Linked DNA regions of Neurospora crassa OR74A. The protein of the gene in region 1 interacts with the protein of each later gene in a biochemical or structural test. Links are inferred from orthologs where the notes say so. Each region holds a gene or a part of one and is shown on either strand. Other genes may lie near its edges.

Region 1 (4,160 bases):
GATGGTGGGATGAAGCAGACGCCAATAAGTGGGTGGTGGTGGTTGTGGTGGTGGTGTTGGACTGTGGCAATACCTCGTTCTCATCCCCAATGAGATGGCGTTTCCTTGGAAATGACACCGCTGCTGGAGGTCCCCGTACCGTATGGACCCAAGTGGTGCATACCGTAGGCTACATATCTATCTCCGTCGGATCCCGGACCGGGGCGGCCATGGAGCCTTCAAGACACTCGGGCCCCGGGGCCATGGGAATTGCGATCCGGACAAGCTCCAAGAGATCGTGATCAGCCAGGCTCCAACAGAAGAGACGGTAAAGAAGACATTGGATCTTCTGGAATTGCAATCGCGGTTCTCCAGGAGGAGTAATAAACAAGTAATGAACGGGGTACGACAAGGGACAGCGACCAGGTACGACGGCAACGACGCAGGGGAGGGACATTAGGTTGAAGAAGACTGAACGCTGACACAACGTCGGGGGCGGACCCAGCCACGCACCACGCTCCCACCGTGCTCACTAGGTACTACCTACGCTACGTACAACTGAACCGTCTGTCTAGCTGCACCCGTCGAACGGCACGCAGCGGTGACGACCCCGGCCGTGCTGCGATATGATATCCTTTTACATAGTATACAAGTCAGGTCGTGTAGGTATCCAATGTAGTTAGGTAGACTGAAATCAAAGGGGATCTTGAACGGGCTGCCAGTTGCCAGACGGGCATTGATGTCAACCTAGACGTCGCCTCCGAGGTGCGGAAGCCTCCCAAAGTGTGTTGGCGGCAGGAAGATCCCCTTTGCCCTCCCAAAATTAGGCGGTGTCTCCTACCCACTTTCCAGACGGATCGCAGGCCACTCAGGAATCCACCTTGAGCCACCTCGAATCAGGCATGATACTGCGACTTGACAACTTGTCCACGAAGATGCCAGAGGGCAAGGGGGCGGTGCGGCCAGTGATTTGATGATTTAGAGTAGGGGTGTGGAAAGCGAACAGCGAGGGAGAGGGGACGGCCTGGGAAGAAGGCAGCGCAGTTACCTCTAGGTTTGTACTTGTAGTCTACTGTGGTGATCCATCCCGTCGTGAACCGGGCAACATGGAGTGCAGGCAGCGCAGCAGCCCGGCGAGGATGAAATGAATGCTTGTTGGGACCTGGAAGTCGGCCGGGCACTCACTGTCAGTACCACTCAGTGACATCGGTGTCGTCCTTGCCCGCCTTTCCTTCCTCCTCCTCCTCCTCCTCCGCCGCCAAGTCCCACAACCACGCCGTGAGGTGACCAGGCCCAGTCCAACCAACTGGACCTAGCAGCCAGCAATGCCCAGTGCAGACAGTCCCGGCCCAGTCCCGTCCCCAATGGAATCAACCGTCCCCTCCCCTCCCCCCCCCAGTCCGCCATCCGTTCCCTCGCACCTGGCACCACAGCAATCCCATCCCCTTACCTCCCCTACCTTTACCCCCCTCAATCCACCCGCCGCCTCGTACTCCCAAAGCTGACCTTAAATTCACCTCCCCTTTTCCAACTCTTCCGCCTACCGAACAACATCCAAATTTTTGCCCAAACAACGTCTCTACGTCCTTCGGCAACACCTCTCTCAGCCAAAGCATCATCGCTCCATCGATCCGGGAATCGTCGAGCGTATTTAATAACTCTTCTTCTGTACCTTTTGCTTAATCCGACACTTTTCGTCACCACCTAATCTATCACAATGGAGGGTACGTAACAACATGTCCACATTCCTGCCCAGTCTGCCCGCGCTGGCGAGCTGGTCGCCGGCGGATCGGACTTCTACCATCGCCATCTCCCTCTACTGGTTATCATGGGCACAAGCTGATTCATGCGTTCCCGCCAACAGAAGAAGTTGCCGCCCTCGTCATCGACAATGGGTAAGCTTTCCCCTCCTTTTCGCCTGCGCCTCACCGACTCCTAGGAGAAGCGTCATATTCCTCCCGCAATCGACGCCTCGCGGCCCCCCCATAGCCCGTTCTACATGGTGAACAATGACGATGGACAGTAGCTAACAACCGCCCAGTTCGGGTATGTGCAAGGCCGGTTTCGCCGGTGATGACGCCCCCAGAGCTGTTTTCCGTAAGTGTTCCCACTATTCCCGCGAGGTGCTCTTGCTTGAGACGGGCAACGTGTCAGCAGAGCTACTTGCCTCCCCGCCAAGACCCAACGTCCCAGCCATGCTAACATGTCGCGATAGCTTCCATCGTCGGTCGTCCCCGTCATCATGGGTATGCATGCCACTTTCCCCCCCGCGTCCCGTGCGCGCAACACTCCAAGACTTTCAGAAAAAACTGACAACATGCCAGTATCATGATCGGTATGGGCCAGAAGGACTCGTATGTCGGTGATGAGGCTCAGTCCAAGCGTGGTATCCTTACTCTCAGGTACCCCATCGAGCACGGTGTCGTTACCAACTGGGACGACATGGAGAAGATTTGGCATCACACCTTCTACAACGAGCTCCGTGTCGCCCCCGAGGAGCACCCCGTCCTTCTTACCGAGGCTCCCATCAACCCCAAGTCCAACCGTGAGAAGATGACACAGATCGTTTTCGAGACTTTCAACGCCCCCGCCTTCTACGTCTCCATCCAGGCCGTCCTTTCTCTCTACGCCTCCGGTCGTACCACCGGTATCGTCCTCGACTCCGGTGACGGTGTCACTCACGTCGTCCCCATCTACGAGGGTTTCGCCCTTCCCCACGCCATTGCCCGTGTTGACATGGCTGGCCGTGATCTTACCGACTACCTCATGAAGATTCTCGCTGAGCGTGGTTACACCTTCTCCACCACCGCCGAGCGCGAAATCGTTCGTGACATCAAGGAGAAGCTCTGCTACGTCGCTCTCGACTTCGAGCAGGAGATTCAGACCGCTGCCCAGAGCTCTTCTCTCGAGAAGTCCTACGAGCTTCCCGACGGTCAGGTCATCACCATCGGCAACGAGCGTTTCCGTGCCCCTGAGGCTCTCTTCCAGCCTTCCGTCCTTGGTCTCGAATCTGGCGGCATCCACGTCACCACTTTCAACTCCATCATGAAGTGCGATGTCGACGTCAGGAAGGATCTCTATGGCAACATTGTCATGGTAAGTCCCCGTTCGCTGTGGAGATGGCAGTATAGGCTAGGTCCGCTAACAGAATCGTCACTAGTCTGGTGGTACCACCATGTACCCTGGTCTCTCCGACCGTATGCAGAAGGAGATCACTGCTCTTGCTCCTTCTTCCATGAAGGTCAAGATCATTGCTCCTCCCGAGCGCAAGTACTCCGTCTGGATCGGTGGTTCCATTCTCGCCTCGCTCTCGACCTTCCAGCAGATGTGGATCTCCAAGCAGGAGTACGACGAGAGCGGTCCCTCGATCGTGCACCGCAAGTGCTTCTAAAGTGGGTGCCCTTGAGAGGTGGTTGTTGCAGTTGGAAGCGGAGCGTCGTCGGCTTACACCATGTATGTAGTTCAATAAATGGACAAATCCACGACTGTCACGAGCCAGCGCCAACTGGGGACATAACACCCCTATCTGCGTCAAGTAGCATGTCTGCATTGCGCGTGTATTCTGCACAGGTCTCTCTTATACAAAAAGTAGCGAGCGTGGTCAGAAGGGGGCTGGCGTCTCTTTTCTCTACTAGAAGACATAAATAATGGCCTTTTTTTTCTGTTTTCTGGGTGGGCGGCGACGGCTGCGAATGCGTGGGATAGGCGCGGTCAAGTATGCGGGCTTCTTGATCTTGCCAACACCCTTTCTCTATTTACTACACTTTTAGCAGCAAGATTTAGTCACCACTGGGAAATTCGAGGTTATCGTGGATGAAGAGATCATCAAAATTCAAACAGCGTTCTGTATTTCTGAGCACCTTCAGCTGCCCTTTCGTTGGTCGTGAGATACGTGCAAGCCAAGGAGAAAAGGGGAATTGCTAGCCGTCAAGGTATCGGATCCACCGTAATGTCTTATTGACTTGAAGGGGAGGCGGCCATACCTACCGAATCCAACTAAGCGATCCTCACCGCTTCAGGAACCGAGTAACAAGCAGCCGTTTCCTTATGATCAAACATGGCCAGGATTGCAAACCAGTGGCAGAAACCACAGATGGCTTTTCGCTGACACAATGGGTAGGTATTCTTACTGTCTAGTGTCTACCGCCATCCGCATTGTTTCCTCCGCGCTTCTCAGCCTT
Region 2 (4,244 bases), about 320 kb from region 1:
TGCCGTGCAAGGACTTCAACGAGTCCAGTTACAGAATGTGATAGTCTCGGCTGAAGAGGCCTTGAGGTTGTGATAAAAGGCTATGAGGCTGAACAAGCCAAAAGTGGTGGCCGCGGCGTAAAGTGCCCCTGTTGCCTACGGAGGTTCCGCTTGCGACAAACCTATGTAACATATACAAATGCGGCACGTAATCGCGTGCGGAAAGGTGTACCTGCGCTAACTGCGCGCGCAGTACATACTGTAGCCACCTGGGCTTGACAGCCCAGACGTTGTGGAACAGTGCACTGTAGAGTTCCTGGACTGGGCTCACCCGGCCCTTCCATGTATCGGGTCTCTGTGGCATGGCCCGACTGAGCGAGGCCCGGGCCCAAAATAGCAACGGAACGACACCCTCAAGGTTGATGAGATGCAGAAACCTAACAAACTGCCCTGATGATCCAGGGGTATCGACGGCCTCATGTAGGGATCTCAGAGGATGTCTTTCCAACCAACAACATCTGTTCCTATACAGTTTTGGACCTCCACAAGTGTGTTTCTCGCTCATACCTCTAGCTTGAGGACTTTTATTCTTTTGTCTTCAGATCATCTTGACCTCTTTTGGTTGGGATAGTGAGACGCAGGGATGATGATACTCGGATAGAACGGTGATGATTGGGCAAGGGATCATGAGCCAATCTTAATACCAGTTCGATGTGATTCCATCATATCAATCTGCCCCCACCAGGGGCAGTTTGGGAAGGTGGAGGATTAAGCCAAGTCATAGTTCCAGCCGCTATGCCTACTTATGCTATTGTATGGATGTACGCAGTACATAGTAATGTGGACATATATGGCGCCGCTGAATGTGCCACCAATGCATACGAAGATGACCTTTATCACCATTATGCGTATTGTTTCAGGTTGACCAGCGGCCTTTTCAGTGCTCAGTTGACAAGTTTCTATCATTGAGTTTCTTTCATCCTATTCTGTGCCGATTTGTGGTTCCATCACTTATATGAACCATCGGTTAGGTTCAGATGATGGATGTTTCGGATGGTGGATGGGAAAAAGAAAGAACGGAAGAAACCCGGACAGTCCCTGCGTCTTGACCACTAACAAATTCCCCGCCTGTGATTCAAGACATCAGGGGTGATGATGTGCCCAGCTAAGCCGCTTTCAGCGCATCGAGACCCCCTTTGCCGTGATGTTGAGGTCTCCCACCAGAAGGTGCAGCTGTTAAGAGAGTGCACGGTGCACCCTCCCGCGCCATGCTGGAGTTGCCCCTGCGATTGCCGAGCGTTGTTAGGTTCGCGTTCACACGGCAAGGAACCCCAACCTCACTCTCTCTCAAGTGATCTCTCATTCGGCTCATTCAACCACTTCACCTCAGTCCAGTCTCGCTGCAACTTCTGAATGGTCATCTGCCTCTGCCTCTCCTTTTCCCGAGCTTGTCTCTATAGCTGATAATTCGCGGGTGAGCCAGCCACCACCGGACAACGCTCCACCCGTCGTCGTTGCCATTGCTCCTTTTCTTTCCCAATCATCGCTCATAGAAGACCACCATTCATTTGCCGCCCGATCTCAAATCAACCTTCAATTTCGTCCGAGTGGGTAACTAAGCCCGTCCAAGACAGGCCCTCCAGTGCCCCACGCGCGCGCGCGCTTCCACCCCAAAGTTAGGTACCGCCAACGACCTGGGCCAAATCCACCAGACCCCTCGAACGGGAGAGTCCGTCCCTGACGAGCCCTGACGGTTTGACCAACGAACGGCATTTTGTTCTTCTCCTAGTTCAGCCTCGGCGTAGCTGTCTAAGTACTCTGGCACTTTTGGTAGTGAGCGAGCTGAGCGTCGCATACCTACCTACTCATCACCCCTCCTTGCCGTCAGCCAGGTCGCCAGTATACTGCCTCTACACTACACACTAGGTAGGTAACTACAGTACTCTATCTATACTTCCAACACGAGATCCAGAAGTCGAAGTCGACGACATCCTACACTACTACCTAGGTATTTCCAGGTTTCGCCGGCTACGCTACACGGACAGACGCGGGTACGGATATTTGCGCCCGCTCGTACATTTGCGACTTGACCCCTTTGACTTTCACTTGAGTTCCATTCCCTTCGAAGATCTGGATTGTATTGCCAACACGGTCTCGATGCAGTCTAGTTTGGGTCAGCACACATCCATACACATCTCGCCCGAGTGCGCTCATCCCACCAGCTAGCAGTGCTAGCAGCTAGCCTATCTCGAGGCCCGCCTCTGCGCAAAAGCTTGCCCGGGCACGGCTACCCTCCGAACTCCTCAACTTGACCTCATGCTAAAAACACCAATGGTTCATGCAGCAGGAAGGCCATGCTCACCAACCGTTATTGCCCGCAAAGAACATGATGCGATCCACCCAGGGCCTCAGACACCGAGTCCATTGACGGCATTTGCTCCGTATCCATTTCAACGCACTCATTTACCAATTGACCCACCCGCGCATTGATTGCCTATACAACTACCCACTCCGCGCCTCGAGACGAGACCCGACCCGGCCCGGCCCCTCGACACCCCTCGACGCCCCTCTACAGCGATCCAGATACCCACGATACCCGCTCGCCTATTGCTGAGGAACCACCCCCGAACAACACGTAGGCAGCTTGCGCTGCTGGGACTGTACTCTGGTGTACTGCCCTGCCGGTAGCGAAGCGGCCGCTTCACACATCCCGTCCCGCGCCATGTCCTCCCACGACAAGAATGGGAGGGCTACCTCCTCGAGCGGCAAGGCCTCCTCCTTCTTCTCGAGAGCCACTGGCAAGAACAAGGCCGACAAACGGAACGCAAGCGATGAGGGTGGCCGATACCTTGCCGCCGACAACGACGCCGCCAGCACCCATACCGCACGCAGTTCGCGCCATTACCGGGACTCGTCTGTAATATCGCTGGACCGTCCCGACACGCCCGAATCTGGCCTCAACATGACGGCAGGGGTCGTCACGACGATCCCCTATGACCCTGTTTCCCCCGACAATCGCTCCCCCGTCGCCCTCGACCACCTTCCCAGGCCCGACCAAATGCCCCTAAGGCGAGAGCTAGTACCGCACCACCTCAACAAAGGCACTGGTGACTTCCACCAGTATCCCACCATCGACCAAAGCCCAAGCTCCCCCTATAATGGGCAGTCACCCAGCGCATCAAGTTCGCGCTCAACTCTCGCTACTGCTAACATCACCATGGCCTCCACGGGCCGCCAGGCCCAGTTTCAGCAATGGGGACCACCGAGAGAGAGCAGTTTGCCCGGGTACAATTCCAGAGGCCACTCGTACATGACAACCCGCAGTTCGGGCGACAATGCCAGCATCTACTCAGGTAGGGACGGACACTACCAAGAAGCCCCAGGAACCAGCCATCGCTCATCCAGGATAGGACTCCCTAGTACTTCGTCTCAGTCATCCTACCTTTCTCCCCATGCCCATAAGGACAGAGATACCCAGCGGTTAACCAAGGTCGCTGCCGGCCACCAGGGCTCCGAAGGATTCAACTTTCCCAAGCCAGACGATGACAATGTGATTGAACAGATGTTCATAAACCTGATGCAAAAGCGAGGATGGCACAACCTCCCGGACCAGGCCAAGCGCCAGATGATCGCATACCCCGCCGCGAAGAAATGGACCTTGATTTACCAGGATCGACTCACCGAGTGGCAGGGCGAACAGAAGCGCAGACAGACGGCCAAGATTGGCCAATACAGCAATGTCGATATTACCCAATCCTCCGATGACGAAGGCAGCCCCGAGTGGTATGTGCGCAAGGTCATGGAAAACGCTCTGGACAGCAAAGGGCTCGGAGGACTCGAAGTCAACCTTCGGACACAGCAGATCGGCTGGGTCAAGCGCTTCATCGACTGTCAGGGACAGATCGCCTTGACCAATGTCCTGCTAAAGATGAACCGAAAGACTGCCTATGGACCTGCTCAGCCGGATAATGGAAGATTGGATAAGAATTTGGACCGAGAATATGACATTGTCAAATGTTTGAAGGCTCTTATGAACAACAAGTTTGGCGCAGACGATGCGCTAGCTCACCAACAGGTTATTGTGGCTCTGGCCACCTCCCTTATATCACCTCGGCTCACCACCCGGAAGCTTGTCAGCGAAGTCCTGACATTCCTCTGCCATTGGGGCGAAGGCAAGGGCCATGTCAAGGTCATCGAGGCCATGGACGTCGTTAAGGCCCAGCAAGGCGAAAACGGGCGCTTCGATGCTTGGATGCGTCTTGTTG
Region 3 (4,225 bases), on another chromosome or scaffold:
TTACGCATTCACCTTTAGGCAGCTGTTGATAGTGTTCAGCGAAGCTGATGTATTACTAGGAAGGCATATCTTTTGATACTCAATTGTCTGGCATGCGGACATTTGCTGATATTGAAGCCTAAAAGTCCGTGAGAAGCTTGCGTTGCCATGGTGGCTGTGAGATATCAAGATGGGTTGGTTGTCAGAACTTGGAAACGCATTTGTGAATTGGATGAACGTCGATGTGATGGGAGCTTGGGCCAATCATTTGTTTGGTGGTGCCCGGTTGACAGAGGTTGACGAATTCAAGGTAATGTGGAACAGAAATTGCATGGTGCAACACTGAAACGGCGCCAAGTAAACATGTTTTAAGTGTAGTGGGACTCTTTTACCAGGTGGCAGTCTCCCCGTCGCTGCAGAGGCTCAGAGCTGTCAACTCGGTGTGCAAGCCACATGGCCAACCGTCTGCTTTCGTTTCGCAGACGACAACGAACTCCCGTCGACATGGAGACAGCACTCAGCTTCAGGGCAGTTAGGCTGTTGACGACGGAGCTGACTGTCGACGGAACAACAAGCAACCCCACCATCTCATAAGGATTCCTTCCAGGCGGTGGCCCCTCCCCCCTTCATCGACATCCACCTCAACCTCTTCATCCAGCCTCCATCCAGCCTCCATCCAGTTTCATTACCTCTACCGTTTTCACTTCTGTAATTTCGAGATCCAACAGGTAACTGCCCACTGTTGCCTGGCGGCTACAAATCCTTTCGATTACCGAGAATGATAAACGCGCGTTGAGGGAGGTGACTGTCGAGAGCCAGTGTACATAAAAGACGACGTACTCATTTCCCTGGTGGTGAAACGTAATCTCATCGAGAGCTTCCCGTGTTGTTCGTCGTTCACGCCGGCCAACCCCTGCTCTGTTCGGTATCATCAGTTCATCACAGCTTTTGCGGGCTCGTGAAAGACGCAAATCACCTCGCTGTGACAGAAGAGCCAAGTTTACTATATGGCTGATGAACGCACAATGGCAGCCCTCCCTTTCACTCTCTATGGATGGTAGGTAAGCAGGCATTGGAACTACACTACTAGGTATCACGCCGGCGTCGTTCACTTTGAGGGTACGTACCACTGGTATCGACGTCGAGCGGGATCCACTCTGCACCGTCCCTCTCCGTCCGCCTGTTGGGAGCCCACACCCAAAGTGACGGACGGGACGGAGGAGTCCACAATGCTGTTCACTGGCCAGCAGCTGCCCTGCTTTGCGAAGGGGGGGACTGGGGCTGATGTTGGAGCTGTGGTGTTGTGTTGGAGCAGATTAGAGGGTCAGATTGGCAGTGAGGTGCCCATCCACTGCCCAGTGGCCGGTGCTTAGAATAGAGGTGGTTGTGTGGTCAACGAATGGTGGCATCCGTCGGCGCCCTGGCCTCTCTCTGCCTGGCCGAGTGCTGGCTGACGGTGCCCGGGAATGGAACCCCTCGCTCCTTTCGCGTCAGGCTCCCAACCTTCAAGTTCAGGTCTCTTCCCAAGAGCTCTCTTCCCGGTCTCCGTCCCCCGTCCCCGTCCTTGCTTCCTCGTGTTGACAACTCCCGGCTCTCTACCTTTTACATACAACGGAACCATCCCATCATAGCACTCTTTCTACCTAATTGTACGTACGTATATTCGCCAGCGAGGTTTTAGCTTGACCGAGTTGTAGCCTTGCCGCCGTGTGCTCCAGTTTACAGTTCCAGTCCCCTTGCCGCCGCCTTTTCCAGTTCGAGTTCCATTTCCATGTTGCTACCCCTCGCCTCGCTCCGCCCCCCGACTGCCTTTTCTACTGTCCGTCCCTGTTGTGCTGACCCGACCCGACTGACTGACAACCTTCCCGCGCCATCCAGCTTTCGGCTCCCCTCTCCACATATAACGCTCGCCCCCCCCATTCTCGCGATCGGTTCACCCATCGTCGTCGACTTTTTGACAAGAACACTTTCACAAAACCACCACATCACAACTTGACATCATGGTAAATCATTCTCTCCTGCCCCCCCTTTCCTAACGCGCGCCGCCCCCCGCACCTTGCTTGTGAAACATGTCGCTGACTCCTTTGCCTTGTCGCAGTCTCAATCTGGGTTAGTCCTCCATGAACTTGCTACATCTTACCCCCCTCCCCGCCATTTTGCTTGCCTGCCCCTGGATCATCCTCACCGATGGATTCAGGAACCGCAATAACTTGACGCTACCCTATCGCCGCCTTGCCCGCCCGTTGCCCGTCCGTAGCCGCGATGCAACCAGCCCATTATCTCGAGATCCCTCCATCCTATATCACGCAGCAGCGACAGAGTAGCATCTGGCGGCCGGTAGCTAGCGCGCTGGGACATGGGGAGCGGGACCCGCAAAAGACAGCAACAACAACAGCATCGACAACACGCAATACATGGAAGAACTCAGAATAGCTAACGTACTCTGCTTGCGTCACTCTACAGAGTTCAGGTCGACCCCGAGTGCCGGAGGGCTTTCGACAAGCTGATGTCCCGTCAGCTCAGGTACATCATCTACAAGCTTTCGGACGACTTCAAGGAGATTGTCATTGAGAGCACCAGCGAGGGCGCCACCGAGAACTACGACGAGTTCCGCGAGAAGCTCGTCAACGCCCAGACTAAGAGCGCTTCTGTAGGTCCTTTCTTTCCCTAGAGACTGGTTGCTGCCAGTGTCGCAACCAACTCCCAGCCCAATCCAGCCCAGAATGCGAAAGAGAACTTTACGGACCCCCGATATCACCATCACCTCCTCCCCGCCCATCCTCACTCTTATAGTCCCTTTCTATTGCGGGCGAATACTTGTCTTGTTTATTCTCCTACCTGGAAGGGGAAAAAAGGGGGGGAGGACGGGAGGAGGGGTCTTGGAATTGAGGGGTTCTTTCACAAAAAGGCGGTTAGACACAGGGGACTGCCAAGACATGTCAACCCCCTGTCGTGGCATGTTCTGTGGACTTGATCGAACGGAGGAACATGATTATCTTCGGGAGAGCGCCGATCGCTAATGAATCACAACCGTTACAGGGCGCCATCAGCAAGGGTCCCCGATATGCCGTCTACGATTTCGAGTACAAGCTTGCGTCTGGCGAGGGTTCCCGCAACAAGGTGACCTTTATCGCCTGGTCCCCCGATGATGCTGGCATCAAGGTGCGTTCCCTTTTTTGTTTGCTCCCGACTCTTTTTCAAATATATATATCCCGAAGCGAACAAGTCGAACTAACTGACTCTCCCCAAAATAAAACAGTCCAAGATGGTCTACGCCTCTTCCAAGGAGGCCCTCAAGCGCTCTCTCAGCGGTATCGCTGTCGAGCTCCAGGCCAACGAGCAGGACGACATCGAGTACGAACAGATTATCAAGACCGTGAGCAAGGGTACTGCCGCATAGATTTCTCCATAATCGTATTAAGAACAGAGAGAGAAGAGAAGAGAAGAGAGATGAGTTGTTGTTGTTGATGTTGTTGCGCGTTGCGAACATAGTCGAAAGATGGTGTCCCTTATGTTGCTGTCGCTGTCGGCGTTGTTGTAATGACAATATAAACCACACGCTACTTATTTTGTACTTGCCAAATACCATTTACCACATCCAGACTACCACCACCTCTCCTCCACTTACTCAACTCAATTTTTCATATTACTATCCGCTTTGGTTTGGAAATTTCAGATATTCTATTCTGTTTACACTTGCGAGGAGTTCATTTTTCAATGTCGATGTCAGGTACGCTATCAAGGTAAAGTCTATGCATGAGAAAAGGGATACCCAACTTACGGTTCCCGGTCTAGCTCTGCAACATTGTCGACAGCATTCTTCGTTTGTGTTGTTGCACCTTAGGAGAGCCCGCCCACGTCAGAGTGAAAAACGTGTTCCTCCCCGTATATTCTATCGCGGATAGACCGATCGATCTACTATGTATGCTTAGCAGATCTGAAGACAGGGTGAGACCTCGTCAACATGTTGATCTGTACATACCCATATATGTGTCCACTACATCGCCATAACCACCAATGTTTGCAAAGTAGAAGATGTACTTTGTAGCTGTTCATGCCCCAGGAGCGCACATCGGTTGGCTCTTGTAAGAAACTTTAGCTCTCTTCAGTTACAGTGGATAGCCTTATTGCTTGAACATCGGATTAGTCACCTCACTCATTACCCACTTCATCATGTTATCACAATTATCACTTCAATTTCCACTCACATCTTGACCACCTCTCCTTCATCACTTCACGGCCCTTC
Region 4 (3,746 bases), on another chromosome or scaffold:
GCAAGCTTACCAAGCGGGGCTTCATTGTGCTGAGAGCACCGGATTTGGGCGATGACTGCCTTGTCCTTGGTAATGACTGTCGAAGAAGTACGAAGCATGCGGTGTATCTTACATGTGTACGTCTTTTACCATGCTGTCAGAGCCAGGCGCTAGACTCTCAGGCCAGCAATTCTGATGTCCACCAGCGCGCCAAGACTTCGGTTTAATGATGTTAAAAGGGGCCGGTTATGAATCCGAAAATGTCGAGGCTACGTCTCAAAGATGCACAACTCCAGTCAGCGACAGCCTGCCTGACTGGAACCCTGGACATCACACGCCCTTGAGCCAAGATTCGTATGATATAGGAGCTGCCGGCTTGAACAGGTAACCTTTGGTTTTCACCATACCTTTAGATAGGTAGCTTATACCTCAGGGATTTGTGCCTGTTGTTGGCGCCTGGGTCCCGTCGTCTCTTTGTTGAAGTTTGTCATGTTGGATGAAATGGAGGTCTAGAGGAAAGAGGTGCTGAATGGATCTCTGATTCGCCGTGCACTAACCGACATCCACGAGGCAAGCCGAACGCTAGAGCATGCGTCTGCATTCAAGGAGCTCCGCTTGTTGTTGGGACGACAGCGGGATGGATCCGAATGCTTGACCCTCTTGGCGTCATATGCAAACTGTTTTCTGTGCTTTCCAACCCCGTCATCATCTTCACTGATGTGTGCGCCATGCAGACAACGGGCGTACTTTGCTGCTCCTCTTTGTTGAGATGAATGAGGGGCATCGGAGCAATGAACCCAACATGGTGTTGGGGCACAGCATCAGAGAAGATGGACGTCTGTCAGAATATCTTCATACTGTTGTTGATGTCAGACTGAAACGTCGAGAGTACGACAGCAAACTCTTCTTGCTGTCCGTCTCGGCGGTCAATGAGGCGGAATGGGGTCGTGGAATTCCACGGCCCTGCAAAAGAACGGTGAAGAATTCCAAGTCTGGATGAAGAAGAAGCTGCCACCTGTTTGTTGAAGAGGGGCCCACTGTTGACCACTTCGGTTGCTCCCGTCGATCCAGCTTGGAAATGCCGCTGGGAGTCGATGGAAGGATGCTTGGTCCTAGAGGCTGTCTGCTAACAATCACCGTGTTGAGTTTATACGATCGTATGTTAAAGAGATACATACCTACCTAGTGTACAAGTAAGTCTCACCTGCCGAACCCCTCCGCGACTCCGAAGAGGTCAACGTCCAGGCAACTTCCTTTGGCGGGGCACCTCGCTGAACCTACCTAGTGACGAGGAGGGGCCTGGCTGGTGAGGGGGCTCCTCTCAAGAGCTTCTCTTCCAATCCACACAACGGGAATCCACAACCACCAGGCACCGTTACCCGGCCCCATTCACCAGCTGGCCTTCGCTGGCTTCCCGGTTTAGCCCACTAGAATCCCAGGGGGACCAGTGAGTCGTTCCCCTCCACTGTCATGTCACCGCTTCCCCTTTTCGCATCCAATCCATAGAGGTATCCAGTCGCCGCTCCGCTATCTTCCGCCGCCGCTTAGCCCCCCCAAGACTACCGGCCCCCCTCCCCCCTTTGCCAACCGAGCCGCGTTTGTTTGGGTTTCCCTTTTTTTAATCCTCCCCGAAAGCCAGCTTCTTCGTCGTCGTTGTCTGTCGATACACTCCTCCTTCAACTCAACCACCGAGTCCTTTCCATCACACCAACATCACACAAATCCCGACAAAATGTCCTGGCAAGGTCAGTGCCTGTTTCCGCCTGGGCCCTCTTCCCGTCCTTGGGAGCTGTTTCACGCCCAACCCCACCTCGACGGAAGCTGGGAGAATAAGCAAGCTAACCCCGAATGTCTTGAACAGCCTATGTTGACTCGAGGTACGATATACCATTGGAAACCACCCGAACCCATGAACACAACGAATTGCGACGCCATCGACTGCTAGGGGTGTGATTGCCTGCGCCTGATGGTTGTTCGGCTTCGGCCCCAAGAATGCGGAGAACCACCTGTACATGGAAACGGACATGGACATGATGAGCTAAGACGTAATCTCCTACATATAGCCTTGTTGGCACCGGCCACATCGATAAGGCCGCCATCATCAGCGCCGCTGGTGACAGCACCTGGGCTGCGACTCCCGGCTTCACGGTACGCCTTGTCTCGCCAACTTCCCCCCGATTTCTGCCCGCACCCTTTCCCTGCCCTCATCTCTGTCTCTCCTTCGGGCGCATAAACGGTCGGACATCTACAATGTCCGAGAAATCCTGGTCAGGGAGGCTGTTTGCACCGGGGAAGCAGAGAGCGGGGTTGATGGCGTGATAGGACCCCCCGACGATGTATCGGGCGCCAAAGTTCCAGAGAAAGCTAACAATCTGTGACGTATTATAGCTGAGCCCCGATGAGATGAAGTTCATCTCCGCCGTCCTCGGCGATAATGGCAAGGGCTCCAACGTTGACAAGGTTTTCGCTGAGGGTCTCCACGTTGCCGGTCAGCGCTACGTTGCCTTCAACATCGAGGGTCGCCACGTCTACGGTCGCCAGGTGCGTACTATCTCTATCCCCTTATCGTGTCTCAACCTCAGACGCCCGAACTTTAGTCGGCCGCGCTGCTCCAGGCATCCCCTTTCCAAGCCTCGTATGTTCAAGCTCACTGATGGTTTTTCTTCCCCCCAAAAATAGGGCAAGACTGGCGTCATCATCGTCAAGACAACACAGGCCATCCTCGTCGCCCACTACGGCGAGAACGCTGTCGCCGGCAACTCGACACAGACCGTCGAGGCGCTCGCCGATTACCTCGTCAAGGCCGGATACTAAGTCATGTCGGGAGGTAGTGGGAAGAAGGATGAGATGATTGGATGTCTTAAGAGTCACTGAACAAGAAACAAATGAAAACGGGATGAAGACAAGGAAGACGAAAGATGGGAAGACGGAAAAGAAACCGAAAGACTTTCCTGTGAAGGAGTATTGGGGACTGGTGTACTGGATGGATGATATCCTTAAACAGGCATAGGCCCTTGGGAATTTTTTTTTTCTGGAACTGACAGCACACTTTGGCGGAATTTGCCTTTCCATGTCAGTCGAGGCTGCCGGTGGTGAAAAACGTTCCTCGTCCGTTGTTCCATCATTGGGGTTATATGGTATCGTGATTTTGTAGACAATTTAACACCCCCCCCACCCCGGAACCATCTATAGTATTTGATTCTTCCTCTCAAAATTATGCATGAAAAGAAAGCCCGATACTTCCCTCTTCATATTACAACTTGGGTATCCCAAAGTTCGCTCCAACGCCGTTTGTGTGAATGTGCATGTTGATCGTGGGCATTAGACCCTTCATAGGCGTTCCCTCTCCTTTTCGTTTCACAACCGTCGTTTCTTCGTTCATGTTCCCGTTCGCCTCGTATTCTTTCTTTTGCCCTCCCTTTCATAGCGCGAGCGCTGAACCTGTCTTGCGCCCGACCCGCCGATGTCATTCAACCGAACGGCAAAGCGAGTATTCGTGAGCTTTCGAAGAGCGGCGCCATGGCCCAGACCATATCCTCGTTCGGCACGTTTGCACTATGCCACGGCGCCCTCGCCTTTTCCCCTCAACACTCAATCCCTCCATTTAAACAGGCAAATCCGCATTCTGCCTCGCTACCACACCAGACCGATCAACCGCGGTGCCGATATAAGGTCCAATAACAGGAATGTTGCGCGCGAAACCCGCTATCGTTCCCAGGAAGTCGCCAAAGAGGATCATGATCCCATAAAGCTCCACGCAGAAGCCG
Region 5 (4,191 bases), about 350 kb from region 1:
CCCATGGGTAGTCTTGATTCCTCGTCTAGAAGGGACAGGATACCAAGTTTGCCCTCGATAAGGTCAATGCAGGGCTGGTTGTCAGCAAAGTCGATGAAGGTCCAGTCAATCTGCTCCCTAAGGTATTCCTCCTGCTCCAACTTGAACACATGCTGGTTGAACTCCTGCTGAAGCTTCTCGTTGGCGTAGTTGATACAGAACTGCTCGAAGGAGTTCTTGGCGAAATGCTCGAAGCCGTAAATATCCAGAACACCAATGAAGGAAGTGACTCTGGTGAGGACCTCCTCCGAAGCAAGACTGTGATTGATGATTTCGACGAGCCAGTCGAACAGACTCGAGTAGATGTACTTGGCAACGGAATCTCGGACAACGATAGCCTGCGCCTGGGTCAAGTTGGACACGATCTTTTCACCACGAGTGACCAATTGCTTCTTGACGATCCACTTGGCAAATTCTGGAGCATCGATGCCGAGAATCTCGCAGGCCTTAACCAGCGATGGTTCGGAAGGATCGAGGGAACTGTCGTTTCGCATGGCACCAATCTTGACATTACCCAAGTGGAGGAGACCAGCCAGAAGCTTGAAGATCTCCGTTTGCTTGCCCTCGTCAACACCGATGGTCTTCAAAGATGCCTTGGTCGCATTGAACTCGGCCTTGTCATCGACGCCATCGATCGTGGGGGTGTTACCCTGGTTGAGGTACTCGAACTGTTCAACGGGAAGCAAGCCCAATTCCTGGCGCTCCTTGTCCGTCACACCAGCAACCAGCTGGTAGAAAATATGGTAGTTTCTTTCCTTCAACGGTTGGAAAACCAACCTCGATCGCTCGAGAAGGTAGGTCCTGATCTTGGCACCGATAATGTTGGTGGCCTTGTCAAACATGATTTCGATGTATTTACCGAATCGCGAGGAGTTGTCGTTTCTTGTCGTCTTTGCGTTACCAAAAGCTTCCATAATCGGGTTCGTAGCCAAGATAGCCTCCTCGGTCTGGCTCATAGACTCGTGGCCACCCTTCTTTACTCGTGATCCGGGGCTGTCGGGCGATTCTCTTGTCGCGAAGTATCTCATAATGTACTTGGCACTGACAGTCTTACCGGCACCGGACTCACCAGACACGACAATGGTCTGGTTCTTGCCATCGCGCAACATGTCCCTATTGTTATGTCAGCGATTACAAGTCAACATGAATCGTCAAATTGGCAAAGAGCCCATACATGAACGCTTCCTCAGCAATGGCGAAAAGATGGGGAGCTTGGGTTGCTCTTTGCTTCCCGGCATAGACTTGAACCATGCCTGGGACATAAAGAGAGTCAACCCGCGCGAACGGGTTTGTAGCTATTAGAACAATACCCGAGTATGTGTAGATTTCCTTCTGGGCATATCGAAGGCGGATAGCCTGAAGCACTAAGCACAGCACATGCTATCAGCATCACGTTCTCGGAGTGCGCCCGATGGCGGGGCGAGTCAGCGCAAAGGTGTGTGTATATTTACCAGCAGGCTCGTTCAGATGTGATAGGTTCGTCAAGTCATCACTGGCTTCGAGCATTGTTGGGTTCATCAAGGGCGGTAGCGACTCATGGCCGCCTGACTGGAGGGCCTCGAGGGAGACCTCCACGGTCTTAGTCTGCAGGCAGTAACACATGTTAGCATCTTGAAGCGCACCAGCCCGCAAAGCACGTAAACCAAAGCACAAAAGTCGGAATATGCCGAGACTTGGGAAAGCATAAGCTACCTACCTCGCCATTCTCGCACTCGAAGATAAGAGTGACCTTGTTGCCGTCTACTGTCTTCTTGACTACTTCAGAGGCAACCCAACCCTCGGTAGGATCGGGCTGCCAGGCTCGAGTGCCAACATCATAGCTCTCCGACATTGGATGCGCTTGTATCGGTGTATTCTCGAGGGAGAGAAAATCGGCGCGAACCTGCGAGTCAGGAGCAAGGGGGAAGAGATGTTGTGGTGGGATTTGGATGGCTTCAAGAAGCCAGTTCTAGCGGCGGAACGGCCAGCACGGCTAGGGGCGACGGGGGTGGATAGGGATAATGGTGGACCGTGTCTGTTATGGCGGACGCAACGACCGGAATGAAGAGCGGTCCAGGATGCTAGTTCGGTCGCGGAAGCTTGGAATCCAAGGGCCGGCGGGAGTGTGGTGCTGGCGAAGACAACATTCACGAAGGGAATGGAAGAGGGGGAAATTAGATACAAAAATAGGGATTGGACGTGGAGCAACACATTAAAGAAGTATAGAAAGATGTTGCTATCGTGCGGGCAACGGAGCCCAAGCCGACAAACAAGGTGGTCGAAGACGATGTAGGTCTAGGAGTTCGAAAGGGGGTTCGGCTCGTGTCGTCGGACCGATGGGAGTGTAGCGCGGGCTGTTCTTGGACGAAACAGCTGAAAGATGTTGTTGTTGCTTTTGTTGTTTGCTTTGCGTGCCCAAGGGAGCTAGCTGGTAGGTGTTTGGCTGACCGGGAATAGGTCAGGTCCTGTCACTGTGTGTAGGACAGGAAGGTTGTGGAATGCCGTATAAACGGGGCGGGCAGAACGGGCGGAGCGGGGACCCAACACACTGCCTTGCGGTGGGAGAACGGATTCGTCGAGCGGTCGAGTCGGGTTCTCTTAACGGTGGCAGCCTCTCTGTATAGAAGTGGCTGATGGTCGAGATAGCACCTGTGGATGAGGGAACGTCCTTGATGTAGTAGCCTGTCGGGCCGGTGTGGTCAACAACCAAGTCAAAAGTCGGGGTAGGCGAGAAGGCGGGACGACGAGACGGGATGTCGTTGAAAGTTTAGGGGTAGGCTTCCGCTTGTAGTGTAGCTGAGGTGCCCGGTGATGATAGAGCACTGGCGGGCCGTCGTGGTGGCAGGCTAACAGCCCGGCCGACGTTCACTTCCGTTGACAGGGGCCCCGTTGTTGTGGATGTTGAGGTGGTCGGTCTTTGGCGGCCACCGCCCAATTGGGTGCGTCGCTGGGCTCGTTGCATTAACACCGAAGCACGGACTCTTTCGTGGGCTTGGGGAGCTGGACTCCATGGAGCCCCTCCAATGAGCCGTAATTCCCAAATGACCTGGACAAGCAGGGCTCTCCTTAAAAGGGGGCACTAACCAACACTGCGAAGAAGATTACATACCTAGAGGTATGCTTGGGAATCCCGCGACTCTACATAAGTGGAAAGCTACATAGTACACAGACAAGGCGAAGAAGAACAATGGGTGACTGGCACCTCTAAGCAGCGTATAAGGGTTACCTTTGTCTTGTCCGGAGAGGTGTCCAGTGGAAGACGACATGATGTACAAGATGGGTCACGATGTCCAAGTCTACACTCTACCTTGAGATGTACAAATGTGTCTCTGGAGGCTCACGCCAATGGGTGAATAACCGTCAGGATATCCTATGAGGACGACCATGTTTCTCCTCCTGATCTATAGCCCTCTTGATTTGTATGGCTTCATCGTTCTCATTATGTACGGTCTTTGGTCTTCCCCTGAGTTTCTGTATTTCTCCCCGACAGCTCACCGGCGCCCCTCATCAGGGTAGCATTTCGTTTACACAACTCCCTGAAGGAACTCACGGAAGTAAGGCCCAATCTTACCAGACTCCCATGGCCAATTGTTTGCACTGGTCCGTTCGTTCGTTCATTTGTTCGTTCGATATGCCATCCAACTGGGTCCCCGTCTGGCCCGTCTGCCCGCTTGTTGACAGTTGAAATGCATTAACCTGTCCGCCTGAAAAGGAGAGAGATGGGCAAACTCAAAATGGGGCATAGTGTAAATACGTACCAATACCTCTATGGCATTGATGGGTGGACCGGGCTGAGTCTGGCACCATGACAATCAATTGCATTTGCGTTCAGTTCCTTCTTCTCTTCTTTCTGGAATCTGCAGGGGTAAAAAGAGCGCCAGCGAATGGCGGGTCGTCAAAGACTGTGGAAACTGTTGGAGACTACCTACTTACGGGCCCCACCAGGCCCCCCGTGCGGCCGGCAGCCCGAGTATCGGGGCCTGGGACTTGGGAGGAAAAAAAAAGGGGAGGGGGGGGGGGGGGGGGGGGGAGAAAGGCGGTGCTTTTGGTGGTTTGCCGCCGACTCCGCGTCGTCGCCGCCTTTTGTCTGCTCCGTGGCCGGATTGACGACGAGTGACTACTGTTACAATTCAGAGTCAACACCGTCCCTCACTCGGACGTCATCCACCGGTG
Region 6 (4,300 bases), on another chromosome or scaffold:
CCGTCAGTCGTTTCTTGGGAGTGGTGTACTTGAATTCGCGGCGCTCCGAGGAGCCGACGTAGCCGTTCCAGCCGCGGGTGGTGAGCCGGGTGGGGTCATGGCGGAAGACGGCCGAGGTGGACCAGCCGGTGATGAGATCGGTGATGGCCTGGGGGAAGTCGGAGCCCTGATCGACGATCCAGCCCACGGTGCGGGAGAGGTCCGGAGCTGGAGAGAAGAGGCGGGCGCCGAGGGCGGAGTAGGAGCCGGCGCCTCCTAAGACGTTGGTTGATGGAGGACGGGGCGGAGGGTATTCGATTTCATCTGATGGGGTGCTTAGTTGGTGCCTGATTGTGGTTCCTGGGCACTTACCGATGATGAACATGCCGAGGGTGACAAAGTCTATTATTGAGGGAGTGTCGTTGATATCTTGCCATTCTGAGCTCTCATCCGAGGCTTTGTCAACATCGTCTGGACTTTGGCCGGGCACTTCCGGGTTGCCGTTATTGTCTGTCATATTGTTCTCTGTGGTGACTGTGTAGGATCAATCAATTGTAGTGGACGCTTGAAAGGAGTGTATGCGAGTACGACGCGGCAACGGCCAGGCGATGATAGACAACAGGTGGGTGTGGGCTATGTAAGTGAGTGACACTGAAAGGGGTTATGAGAGTGAGACACCGATGGAGGGATGAAGACCTATTTGGAAAGATGGACGCGTATGTAGATATTGATGTGGCTACTGGCTAGGCTACCTCTATTGCTAGTCTGCTATTTCTGCCTGACCATCAGGCGGCATAAAGCATAAAGAGCCTGATGTTTTGATAACTCAACGTCTTATTAGCTAGAATCAGCTATCTGGGGTAGGTTTTTTACTGCGAGGCGTAGGAATGGAGAAAGGGGACGGACCCGCGGGACGGGAGGTTATGGGATCGATCCTGTCATCTCGATCCTCGACACTTTAAATGACTGCTTGTGCAGACCTACTCATGTCAAGTCTTCAGCATCAGCATCAGCATTACCGTTCTCGTATATACACAGCTAAACAAGCAGCGAGCTTCTGAACGGGGAGAGTGCTTGTTGTTGATCCGGTTGCAGTAGCACGATGTGACTTGTTGTTTTTGTTTAGGTATGCTTGGTGAGGTGGTAACTCATATGTGGATATGAGGCGTGGATGGTGCCTGTACGCCCAGCGGGCTTTTGGTGGCCGTGCACTCTAGTCTACTGCAGAGTCGTGAGAGCGGCCAGCAAGGTGTTCGTTCTTTCTTGTTGGAGGATGTCCCGAAACGCGTAATTTTAAACGATGGATGAGACGACCCACCATGACCCCACTATGAAGCTATCGTGGGGAAGCAGCTCATCACCTAGCGTGCTGCGTCTACAGAAGGTGTGCCCCGTACACTGTGGCCGCCCGTAGGCAGTGTACAAGCATGGCAGGCGCCAGGGGCAGATGCCCGTGCTAGGTAGGGGTTGTGTGACGAGGGGTTCCAATCGACGAGTTGTCAGCCCGGACCGTCAACCTTCAGACATCCCATGTTCCAGCACAGCAGATCTTGGGGCACCTAACTACACCTTCCCAGACCTCCTCCTTGTGCAAGTTTCGGGACTCTTTTCTTCCTCTTTCTCCATCTAGCGATATCTTCTTATTCCTTGTAAATTATACGGTTCAGCGAAAAGGGTAAGTGCTTCTCATCAAGATATTCAGGACGATACCTTCCCTCTGTTTCAACGAGCTCTCTTCCACCGGAGGTATCCGGGTCTGCCCACGGCACTCTCTTCACATCATCATCAAGGCAGGATCGCTAATACCGCAAGCTGGCACCGACAGTTCTAATCACAGAGTACACCTTGCTCCTTCCAACTTCTATATTACTCGACCGCGAAGCCTACTACGTTTCCAAAGTCCCGCCTAAGGGACCATCATAATCACAATGGCGACCAACAATATGCACAACTTGGTCACCTTGATCAAGAGGTACGCTTCAGCTTTCTTTACCGCAACTTGATATCGCCACACCTACGAATAGTTGCTTTCTTCTACAACACCCGCATTGCCCATTATTTTACCTGGCGCATTCTTAGCCATGCCGATTCCATGGGAGCCGCTCTGAGGCTAGGACGACGAAGATCCAGTCCCCGAGCAAGGAATGCGCCAGAAAAATCGGCGCAAAGCGAGAAAGAAAAAAAAAAGACTACGAGTGAATAATGGTCAAGGCACGTTGCTAAGTACTTGCGCAGACTTGAGGCGGCCACCCTCCGTCTGGAGGATATGGCTTCGTCCACCATCCCCCCTATTGGCTCCCAGGCCGTCATTGAGCCGGCTTCCTCCGCCCCCTCCGCCCCCGCGTCCACTGCTGTGTCCACTCCTGCACCCGCTGCCGCAGTACCAATTCCCGAATCTGTCGAAAAGTTCGACGACTTCTTGAACCAAACTGTTCAGAAATATGTTAAGACCAGCAATCTTATCGGTGGCTTGGTTGCTGAGCAGGTACCTATCCTGCACAGTTCTGGATCTATTTTGTGGGCAGAGAGCGGGAAGCTGACCATTTTTATCAGGCTGCGAGTGTCCTCAAGGGATTTGCCGAGACGCGCAAGTTCCTACTCGCCGCCTCCCAGTCCAAGAAGCTCGACATGAACTCGGTCGATTTCCAGGAGGCTATCAAGCCTATCAGCGAGGCCATCCAGGCCACTCAGGAAATCAAGGACAAGAACCGCGGTTCTCCCTTCTTCAACCACCTCGGCATGGTGGCCGATGGAATCATGCTCCTCGCTTGGATCACTGTTCAGTCTAGGCCTGACAAGCTCATTGATGAAAGCCTGTCATCTGCCGAATACCTGGGCAACAGAGTCATGCAGGCAAACAAAAACACTGATCCCCAGCATACAGAATGGGTCAAGACCTTCTACCAGATCTTCAAAGACTTGTCGGAATATGCCAAGGATTACTACAACAACGGCATTGTGTGGAACCCTAACGGCAAGCCTTACAAGGAGGTCGTCCAGTGTCTTGAATCCGGCAGCGCTCCCTCGGCACCTGCCGCGTCTCCAGCCCCGTCCGGAGGAGCTCCTCCTCCGCCACCTCCTCCTCCTGGACCTCCTCCGGTACTCAAGATTAATGAGCAGAAGGCGGAACCGGCCCAACCGGGTGGTTTCAGTTCCGTCATGTCTGAGCTCAACAAGGGCGAAGCAGTTACAAAGGGTCTCAAGAAGGTCGACAAGTCGCAGATGACACACAAGAACCCTTCCCTCAGGGCAGGATCAACCGTTCCCGACGGACCAGCGGCACGGTCCAAGAGCCCTGCGCCGCCTGGAACCAAGCCGCCCAAGCCTGAGAGTATGCGTGCGAAGAAACCTGCAAAGAAGGCTCTCGAGGGCAACAAGTGGATTATTGTAAGTTCTCCAGCCGGACATTGTGGTGTAAATTCAAGGTTTTTGACAGTGCTTTAGGAAAACTACGATGCTGCCGCTGGCAACGTTGAGATCGAGGCCTCCATTTCCCAGTCCATCCTCATCAGCAGGTGTAATGAAGTCGTCATCGTCGTCAAGGGCAAGGCCAACGCTGTCAACATTGACAACTGCGACAAGGTGTCGCTTATTGTGGACACTCTTGTTTCTACTGTCGACGTTGTCAGGTCCAAGAACTTCCAGCTCCAAGTCAACGAGACGATCCCCACTGTGCTTTTGGATCAAGTCGAGCAAGCCACAATCTGGCTGAGCAAGGAGAGCATCTCGACAAGGGTGTTCCAGAGCAAGACGGACAACGTCAATATCATGGTTGTGGACGAGAACGACGACTCCAAGGAGCTTCCTCTTCCTTCCCAAATCTGCTCGTATTACGATCCCGAGAAGAAGGAGCTTATCAGCGAGATCGTTTCTCACTGTGGTTAATTCATATTTGGTCGCTGCTTCGTCGAGATTGTCGGAAAAAGTGAGTAGCTTGATGCGAGGTGGCGTTTGGTTCTGATCGTGAGCGTTGTTGTCACATATTCTCCAATTTACATAATAGCACGCCTTGATTTGAATATTCGTGGATGGCATGTTCTGAAGCGGGCGTGAAATCATCTTCAATCCCGCAGGTATGCCAACTCGACAGTACCCATCATCATTTTCAAGAACCATATCATCTCATGACGTTCCTATTTCAATTGAAAAAAACGCCGAACACCTTTGCCTATCAATGACAAAACTTGGCTGTTTATGGCATGTCTCTCTGTCTAGACCATTTCCGCCGTAGTACTTTTCTCATCCATATCTATGACCCACCTAAAATCATCTCTACCTGTTTCCTAGACACAGCATCAATTCGGTTTTTTAACCTTTCCAG
Region 7 (4,332 bases), on another chromosome or scaffold:
CTCTCATCCCTAACCCACCTCACATCCTCCTCCGCACCCACCTCCGCTCTCCTCTCGCCCACCCCAACCCCGTTGGCAACCTCCACCACCTCAGCCGGGAACACTTCGGTCGGCAATCCACTTCCCAGCCAAAGCAACAACCAAAACACTTCTTCTCTCCCATTCTCCACAGCAAGATGCAGCGCCGTCTTGCCCTCGTTCAACGGGTCGCGGAAGGTGAGCAGTTGGCTGGGGGTGATGGTGGTTTCCTCATCTTCCGAAGCGGCCACGTCCGTTAGGAGCTCGATGATACCCGCAAAGTCGCCCTCGGCAGCCATGGTATGCATAGCGCGTGCAGGGCGCGCCGAAGGGTTAGAAGAGAGGTAGGCTTCTTCAGTGAGGGCAGGTAGGATGTCGAGGGAGGACTGGACACCGCCTTCGTTGTGGTATTGGGTGAGAATGGCGAGGCCCTGGGAGGTGGGGAGGACGGGGTTGGTCGCGCTCACGGGCACCGGGTTCGATGACCCTGAGAACCCCGAGGAGGAGGAGGAGGAGGAAGAAGAGGAAGAGTTGGTGGGCAGGTAGGTGTTGCAAGAGGGACAGCGGAGAGAGAGGGCCACGGAAGAGGAGAGGTCCATTAGGCATTGCCAGTGATAGTGGCAGTTGCAGGGGAGGAGGAGGTCGTCGGGGACTTGTTGGGGGTGAGCGGCGGAGGAGGAGGAGGAGGGGCCGCCGTTGTCATGATCCTGGTCCATTTCATTGTCTGAGGCGTTGGAGTCTTGGTCTAGATCGTAGTCGGGGTCGACTTCGAGGTAGAGAGGTTCTGAGCAGGCTTTGCAGAGGGACATCTTGTGGTGTGGGTTTGGTGGTAGTATCTGGTTGGGGATTAGTTCAGTGATCACTGGATGGATGGATGAGGAACAGTGGGTAGTATGAGATATTGATGCGGTGACTTACCTTTGACAAAAAGTGAGGTAGTGACTTTGTGTTTCTTACTTGGTTGAAACAACGCGCGTATAGAGGCGTCGTAATCCCAAGTTGCAAATTCTTGCAGAACCTCAATGATTTGCTGAAAAATGCTTGGGGTCGTGGTGGCTTAGACAGATGTGAGGTTATCCCGACGATGCGAATGGAATCAAAGGAACGTAAAATTCTCTACTTGCTGTTAGTGAGGTACAGCGAGGGTCCTGACGCTCAGGGGGGTCACCATGAATGAGCCAGTCGCATGTGGAACCGAGGTGTCATTTGCGAAACTAGCACAGGTCCACGCTTAACAGAACTCCCGCCAGTCCTAACCCAAACGGATGGAAGCCTGGCGGTGGTTCACGGTTCCCATCCAACCTAATGCAAGTGGAAAAAGCCAGGCAGGCCACCAGGGGCAGGGTTGTCGCCGGGCTGGCTGCCTGAAGGGATGGCTGATTGGGCCGCGACGGCATTACGACGCTGGGCGATTACATCAGACTGCTTCTGGGACCTGCTGTGTTAGTGCTTGTCTCGGGGATTGCGATGGATGGCGTCCCCGCCCCCGCCAGCCGTACCTTGACGCCCGCCTGTAATGGCCATGCTCTTTTGAGCTTCGCTTCCCATCTTCGGCCGGCGACGCATGAAACGGGAGCAGGAATAAGGCACTTCATCCATCATTAGCAGCAGGAACCGGGACTCATACAAATAAATACCCAACATCCAACTCCGCTTTTCCGCCAGAGCATCCATAGATCCAGTCATCTTCATCACCCAGCCCAGCACCGCCTACACTACACCCATTAGGAAAATAATCTAATAAACGACGACCGCATTGGGCGTCTTCATTACTTTTGTTAATAGAGGGGCTATCTCTTTCCCACGGTTCCCGCCGGATCACTTTGCGAGCGCCATTCATCACCAAGACGAGTGGTTCCCGACCGACCCCTTTTTCAACACCACCATCCGCAACCATGAATGTCCTCAAGATCCAGAGGTAAGAAGACGAAGACGGGCCTTCAAAAGCCAAGGACGACAGGGGCAACAGCAGAACACAGCTAATGGAACTAGGAAATTCCCTCAACTACAGCAGAGCGACATCTTCGGATTGGCCGATGCCTTCCGCAAGCTCGACGTAGACGACAAGGGGTACATTGACGAGACCACTGCCATCAAGGCCACCCAGGCCAGCGAGCGCCAGCCCTACGATGCCGTCCGCGCGGCCCTCAAAGAAGTCGGTCTCGATGCCTCGCGCCGTGTAGAACTCGAAGATTACGTTGGGGTAAGTCGAAGCCTTCCTCTCCACTGTTGCAGCACCACCACATACATCTCACTTCTTGAAGGCCACCCAGGTCGCATTCCGTATACTAGGTACCATTCATCAAAAGATCTGGCTGACACTTTCCACTCTGTAGCTCGTCGCGAAGCTCCGCGAAGGTCCCGGCAGCGCCCCTGCTGCTCCGTCAACTCCCGCTTCTGTCATCGCCCAGCGGACGGGAGGCGCTACTCCTAGCCACGCATCGAAGCCCTCCGTCGGTGGCAGCGGCAAGATCTTCGTCCAAGGCTCAAACGCTAACATCACCCACACCATCAACGAAGATGAACGTACCGAATTCACGCGCCACATCAACGCTGTCCTTGCGGGCGACCGCGACATCGGCAGCCGCCTGCCTTTCCCGACCGACACCTTCGAGATGTTCGACGAGTGCAAGGATGGTTTGGTTTTGGCCAAGCTCATCAACGACAGCGTTCCCGATACCATCGATGAGCGTGTACTGAACATGCCCGGCAAGAAGACCAAGACCCTCAACGCGTTCCAGATGACAGAAAACAACAACATTGTTATCGAGTCGGCAAAGGGTATTGGCTGCTCCGTCGTCAACATTGGTAGCTCGGATATCATTGAGGTCAGGGAGCATCTTATCCTGGGTCTAATTTGGCAAATCATCCGTAGGGGCTTGCTGAGCAAGATCGATATCAAGCTCCACCCCGAGCTCTACCGCCTTCTCGAGGAGGACGAGACCCTCGAGCAGTTCCTCAGACTCCCTCCTGAGCAGATTCTCCTGCGCTGGTTCAACTACCATCTCAAGGCCGCCAACTGGCCCAGGAGGGTAGCCAACTTCTCCTCTGACGTCAAGGATGCCGAGAACTACACCGTCCTCCTCGCTCAGATCGGTTCCGACTACGGCTGCACGAGGGCGCCTCTGCAAACGCGCGACCTTCATCAGCGGGCTGAGGAGGTTCTTCAGAACGCCGACAAGCTCGGTTGCCGCAAGTTCCTCTCTCCCTCTTCCCTCGTGGCCGGTAACCCCAAGCTCAACCTCGCTTTCGTTGCCAACCTCTTCAACACACACCCCGCGCTTGACCCCATCACTGAAGAGGAGAAGCTTGAGGTCGAGGACTTTGACGCTGAAGGCGAGCGTGAGGCCCGTGTGTTTACCCTGTGGCTCAACAGCTTGGACGTCAACCCCGCAGTTCAGTCCTTCTTCGACGACCTCCGCGATGGTACCGTCCTTCTACAAGCATATGACAAGGTTATCAAGGGTTCCGTCAACTGGCGCCACGTCAACAAGGCTCCCGCGCATGGCGGTGAGATGCTGCGTTTCAAGGCCGTCGAGAACACCAATTACGCGATCGAGTTGGGCAAGCAGAACGGGTTTTCCCTGGTTGGTATCCAGGGTGCCGATATCACGGATGGTCAGCGCACCTTGACCCTGGGTCTCGTCTGGCAGCTGATGCGCAAGGACATTACCCTTACCCTGCACGGTCTAGCCCAACGCCTCGGCAAGCGCGAGATTACGGATGCGGAAATGGTCAGATGGGCCAACGAGATGAGCCGCAAGGGCGGCCGCAACTCGAGCATCCGCTCGTTCAAGGACCCTGTCATTGGCTCGGGTATTTTCTTGTTGGATGTGCTTAACGGCATGCAGAGCAACTATGTCGATTATGACTTGGTTACTCCCGGCAAGACTGATGAAGATGCTTACCTCAATGCCAAACTCAGTATCAGCATTGCCAGAAAGATGGGTGCCACTATTTGGCTGGTGCCAGAGGATATCTGCCAGGTGCGCAGCCGCTTGGTCACGACCTTTATCGGTAAGTTGCTCCTTTTGATTATTGGGCTTTCATTTGACTGGCCGGGCTAACACATGCACTAGGTTCGTTGATGGCTACCTATGACAAGATGCAGTAGATACCAAGTATAACGAGAAATGATGAAGTGGTCTTGCTTGATAATTGGAGATGAATATAAACATACAGCCTTGTTAGGGCGATGGACTTAAAAAGTTGAACAGGCGAATTGCGTTTTACGAATGTTTATTCTCTCTTGGTACCAACCCCTCACCTTCCCAAGCCATTTGACATTAAATGTTCAATTACCCGATGGTTGCA

The links.
Region 2: the proteins of act (region 1) and bni1 form a complex in vitro, tested with the Saccharomyces cerevisiae proteins (4 studies listed by BioGRID, with this or other methods). The link is inferred for Neurospora crassa OR74A from reciprocal best matches to the Saccharomyces cerevisiae genes ACT1 and BNI1.
Region 3: the proteins of act (region 1) and NCU01587 form a complex in vitro, tested with the Saccharomyces cerevisiae proteins (12 studies listed by BioGRID, with this or other methods). The link is inferred for Neurospora crassa OR74A from reciprocal best matches to the Saccharomyces cerevisiae genes ACT1 and COF1.
Region 4: the proteins of act (region 1) and NCU06397 form a complex in vitro, tested with the Saccharomyces cerevisiae proteins (4 studies listed by BioGRID, with this or other methods). The link is inferred for Neurospora crassa OR74A from reciprocal best matches to the Saccharomyces cerevisiae genes ACT1 and PFY1.
Region 5: the proteins of act (region 1) and NCU01440 form a complex in vitro, tested with the Saccharomyces cerevisiae proteins (3 studies listed by BioGRID). The link is inferred for Neurospora crassa OR74A from reciprocal best matches to the Saccharomyces cerevisiae genes ACT1 and MYO2.
Region 6: the proteins of act (region 1) and NCU08008 form a complex in vitro, tested with the Saccharomyces cerevisiae proteins (5 studies listed by BioGRID). The link is inferred for Neurospora crassa OR74A from reciprocal best matches to the Saccharomyces cerevisiae genes ACT1 and SRV2.
Region 7: the proteins of act (region 1) and fim form a complex in vitro, tested with the Saccharomyces cerevisiae proteins (2 studies listed by BioGRID). The link is inferred for Neurospora crassa OR74A from reciprocal best matches to the Saccharomyces cerevisiae genes ACT1 and SAC6.

Annotation. Positions count from the first base shown.
Region 1 is NC_026505.1:5,085,410-5,089,569, forward strand, and holds act (actin, variant), read left to right. Parts: upstream 1-1,360; 5' UTR 1,361-1,696; coding exon 1,697-1,703; intron 1,704-1,843; coding exon 1,844-1,874; intron 1,875-2,020; coding exon 2,021-2,076; intron 2,077-2,194; coding exon 2,195-2,225; intron 2,226-2,303; coding exon 2,304-3,075; intron 3,076-3,139; coding exon 3,140-3,370; 3' UTR 3,371-3,371; exon of another isoform or gene 3,372-3,440; 3' UTR 3,441-3,838; downstream 3,839-4,160. Other genes in the region: NCU04174 (hypothetical protein), read right to left, coding at 4,113-4,160. UniProt on the Saccharomyces cerevisiae protein: Actins are highly conserved proteins that are involved in various types of cell motility and are ubiquitously expressed in all eukaryotic cells.
Region 2 is NC_026505.1:4,767,594-4,771,837, forward strand, and holds the start of bni1 (cytokinesis protein sepA), read left to right. Parts: upstream 1-1,358; 5' UTR 1,359-1,905; intron 1,906-2,323; 5' UTR 2,324-2,701; coding exon 2,702-4,244. UniProt on the Saccharomyces cerevisiae protein: Required for the assembly of F-actin structures, such as actin cables and stress fibers. Nucleates actin filaments. Binds to the barbed end of the actin filament and acts as a leaky capper, slowing both polymerization and depolymerization.
Region 3 is NC_026502.1:3,015,333-3,019,557, forward strand, and holds NCU01587 (cofilin, variant), read left to right. Parts: upstream 1-1,397; 5' UTR 1,398-1,628; exon of another isoform or gene 1,629-1,857; 5' UTR 1,858-1,979; coding exon 1,980-1,982; intron 1,983-2,077; coding exon 2,078-2,088; intron 2,089-2,442; coding exon 2,443-2,629; intron 2,630-3,018; coding exon 3,019-3,141; intron 3,142-3,238; coding exon 3,239-3,379; 3' UTR 3,380-3,670; downstream 3,671-4,225. UniProt on the Saccharomyces cerevisiae protein: Controls reversibly actin polymerization and depolymerization in a pH-sensitive manner. It has the ability to bind G- and F-actin in a 1:1 ratio of cofilin to actin. Binding to F-actin is regulated by tropomyosin.
Region 4 is NC_026504.1:2,646,410-2,650,155, forward strand, and holds NCU06397 (profilin), read left to right. Parts: upstream 1-1,262; 5' UTR 1,263-1,711; coding exon 1,712-1,724; intron 1,725-1,840; coding exon 1,841-1,856; intron 1,857-2,042; coding exon 2,043-2,127; intron 2,128-2,367; coding exon 2,368-2,520; intron 2,521-2,658; coding exon 2,659-2,793; 3' UTR 2,794-3,237; downstream 3,238-3,746. Other genes in the region: NCU06396 (Got1 family protein), read right to left, coding at 3,584-3,746. UniProt on the Saccharomyces cerevisiae protein: Binds to actin and affects the structure of the cytoskeleton. At high concentrations, profilin prevents the polymerization of actin, whereas it enhances it at low concentrations. By binding to PIP2, it inhibits the formation of IP3 and DG.
Region 5 is NC_026505.1:4,738,480-4,742,670, forward strand, and holds the start of NCU01440 (myosin-2), read right to left. Parts: upstream 2,827-4,191; 5' UTR 1,871-2,826; coding exon 1,736-1,870; intron 1,624-1,735; coding exon 1,491-1,623; intron 1,404-1,490; coding exon 1,214-1,403; intron 1,153-1,213; coding exon 1-1,152. UniProt on the Saccharomyces cerevisiae protein: Myosin heavy chain that is required for the cell cycle-regulated transport of various organelles and proteins for their segregation.
Region 6 is NC_026504.1:3,897,175-3,901,474, forward strand, and holds the start of NCU08008 (adenylyl cyclase-associated protein), read left to right. Parts: upstream 1-1,384; 5' UTR 1,385-1,654; intron 1,655-1,804; 5' UTR 1,805-1,907; coding exon 1,908-1,951; intron 1,952-2,214; coding exon 2,215-2,464; intron 2,465-2,532; coding exon 2,533-3,366; intron 3,367-3,423; coding exon 3,424-3,864; 3' UTR 3,865-4,300. Other genes in the region: NCU08007 (PfkB family carbohydrate kinase), read right to left, coding at 1-496. UniProt on the Saccharomyces cerevisiae protein: The N-terminal domain binds to adenylyl cyclase, thereby enabling adenylyl cyclase to be activated by upstream regulatory signals, such as Ras. The C-terminal domain is required for normal cellular morphology and growth control.
Region 7 is NC_026506.1:2,369,750-2,374,081, reverse strand, and holds the start of fim (fimbrin), read left to right. Parts: upstream 1-1,499; 5' UTR 1,500-1,913; coding exon 1,914-1,936; intron 1,937-2,010; coding exon 2,011-2,221; intron 2,222-2,354; coding exon 2,355-4,035; intron 4,036-4,097; coding exon 4,098-4,132; 3' UTR 4,133-4,332. Other genes in the region: NCU03993 (hypothetical protein), read right to left, coding at 1-854, 937-1,134, 1,187-1,189. UniProt on the Saccharomyces cerevisiae protein: Binds to actin, and functionally associates with actin structures involved in the development and maintenance of cell polarity.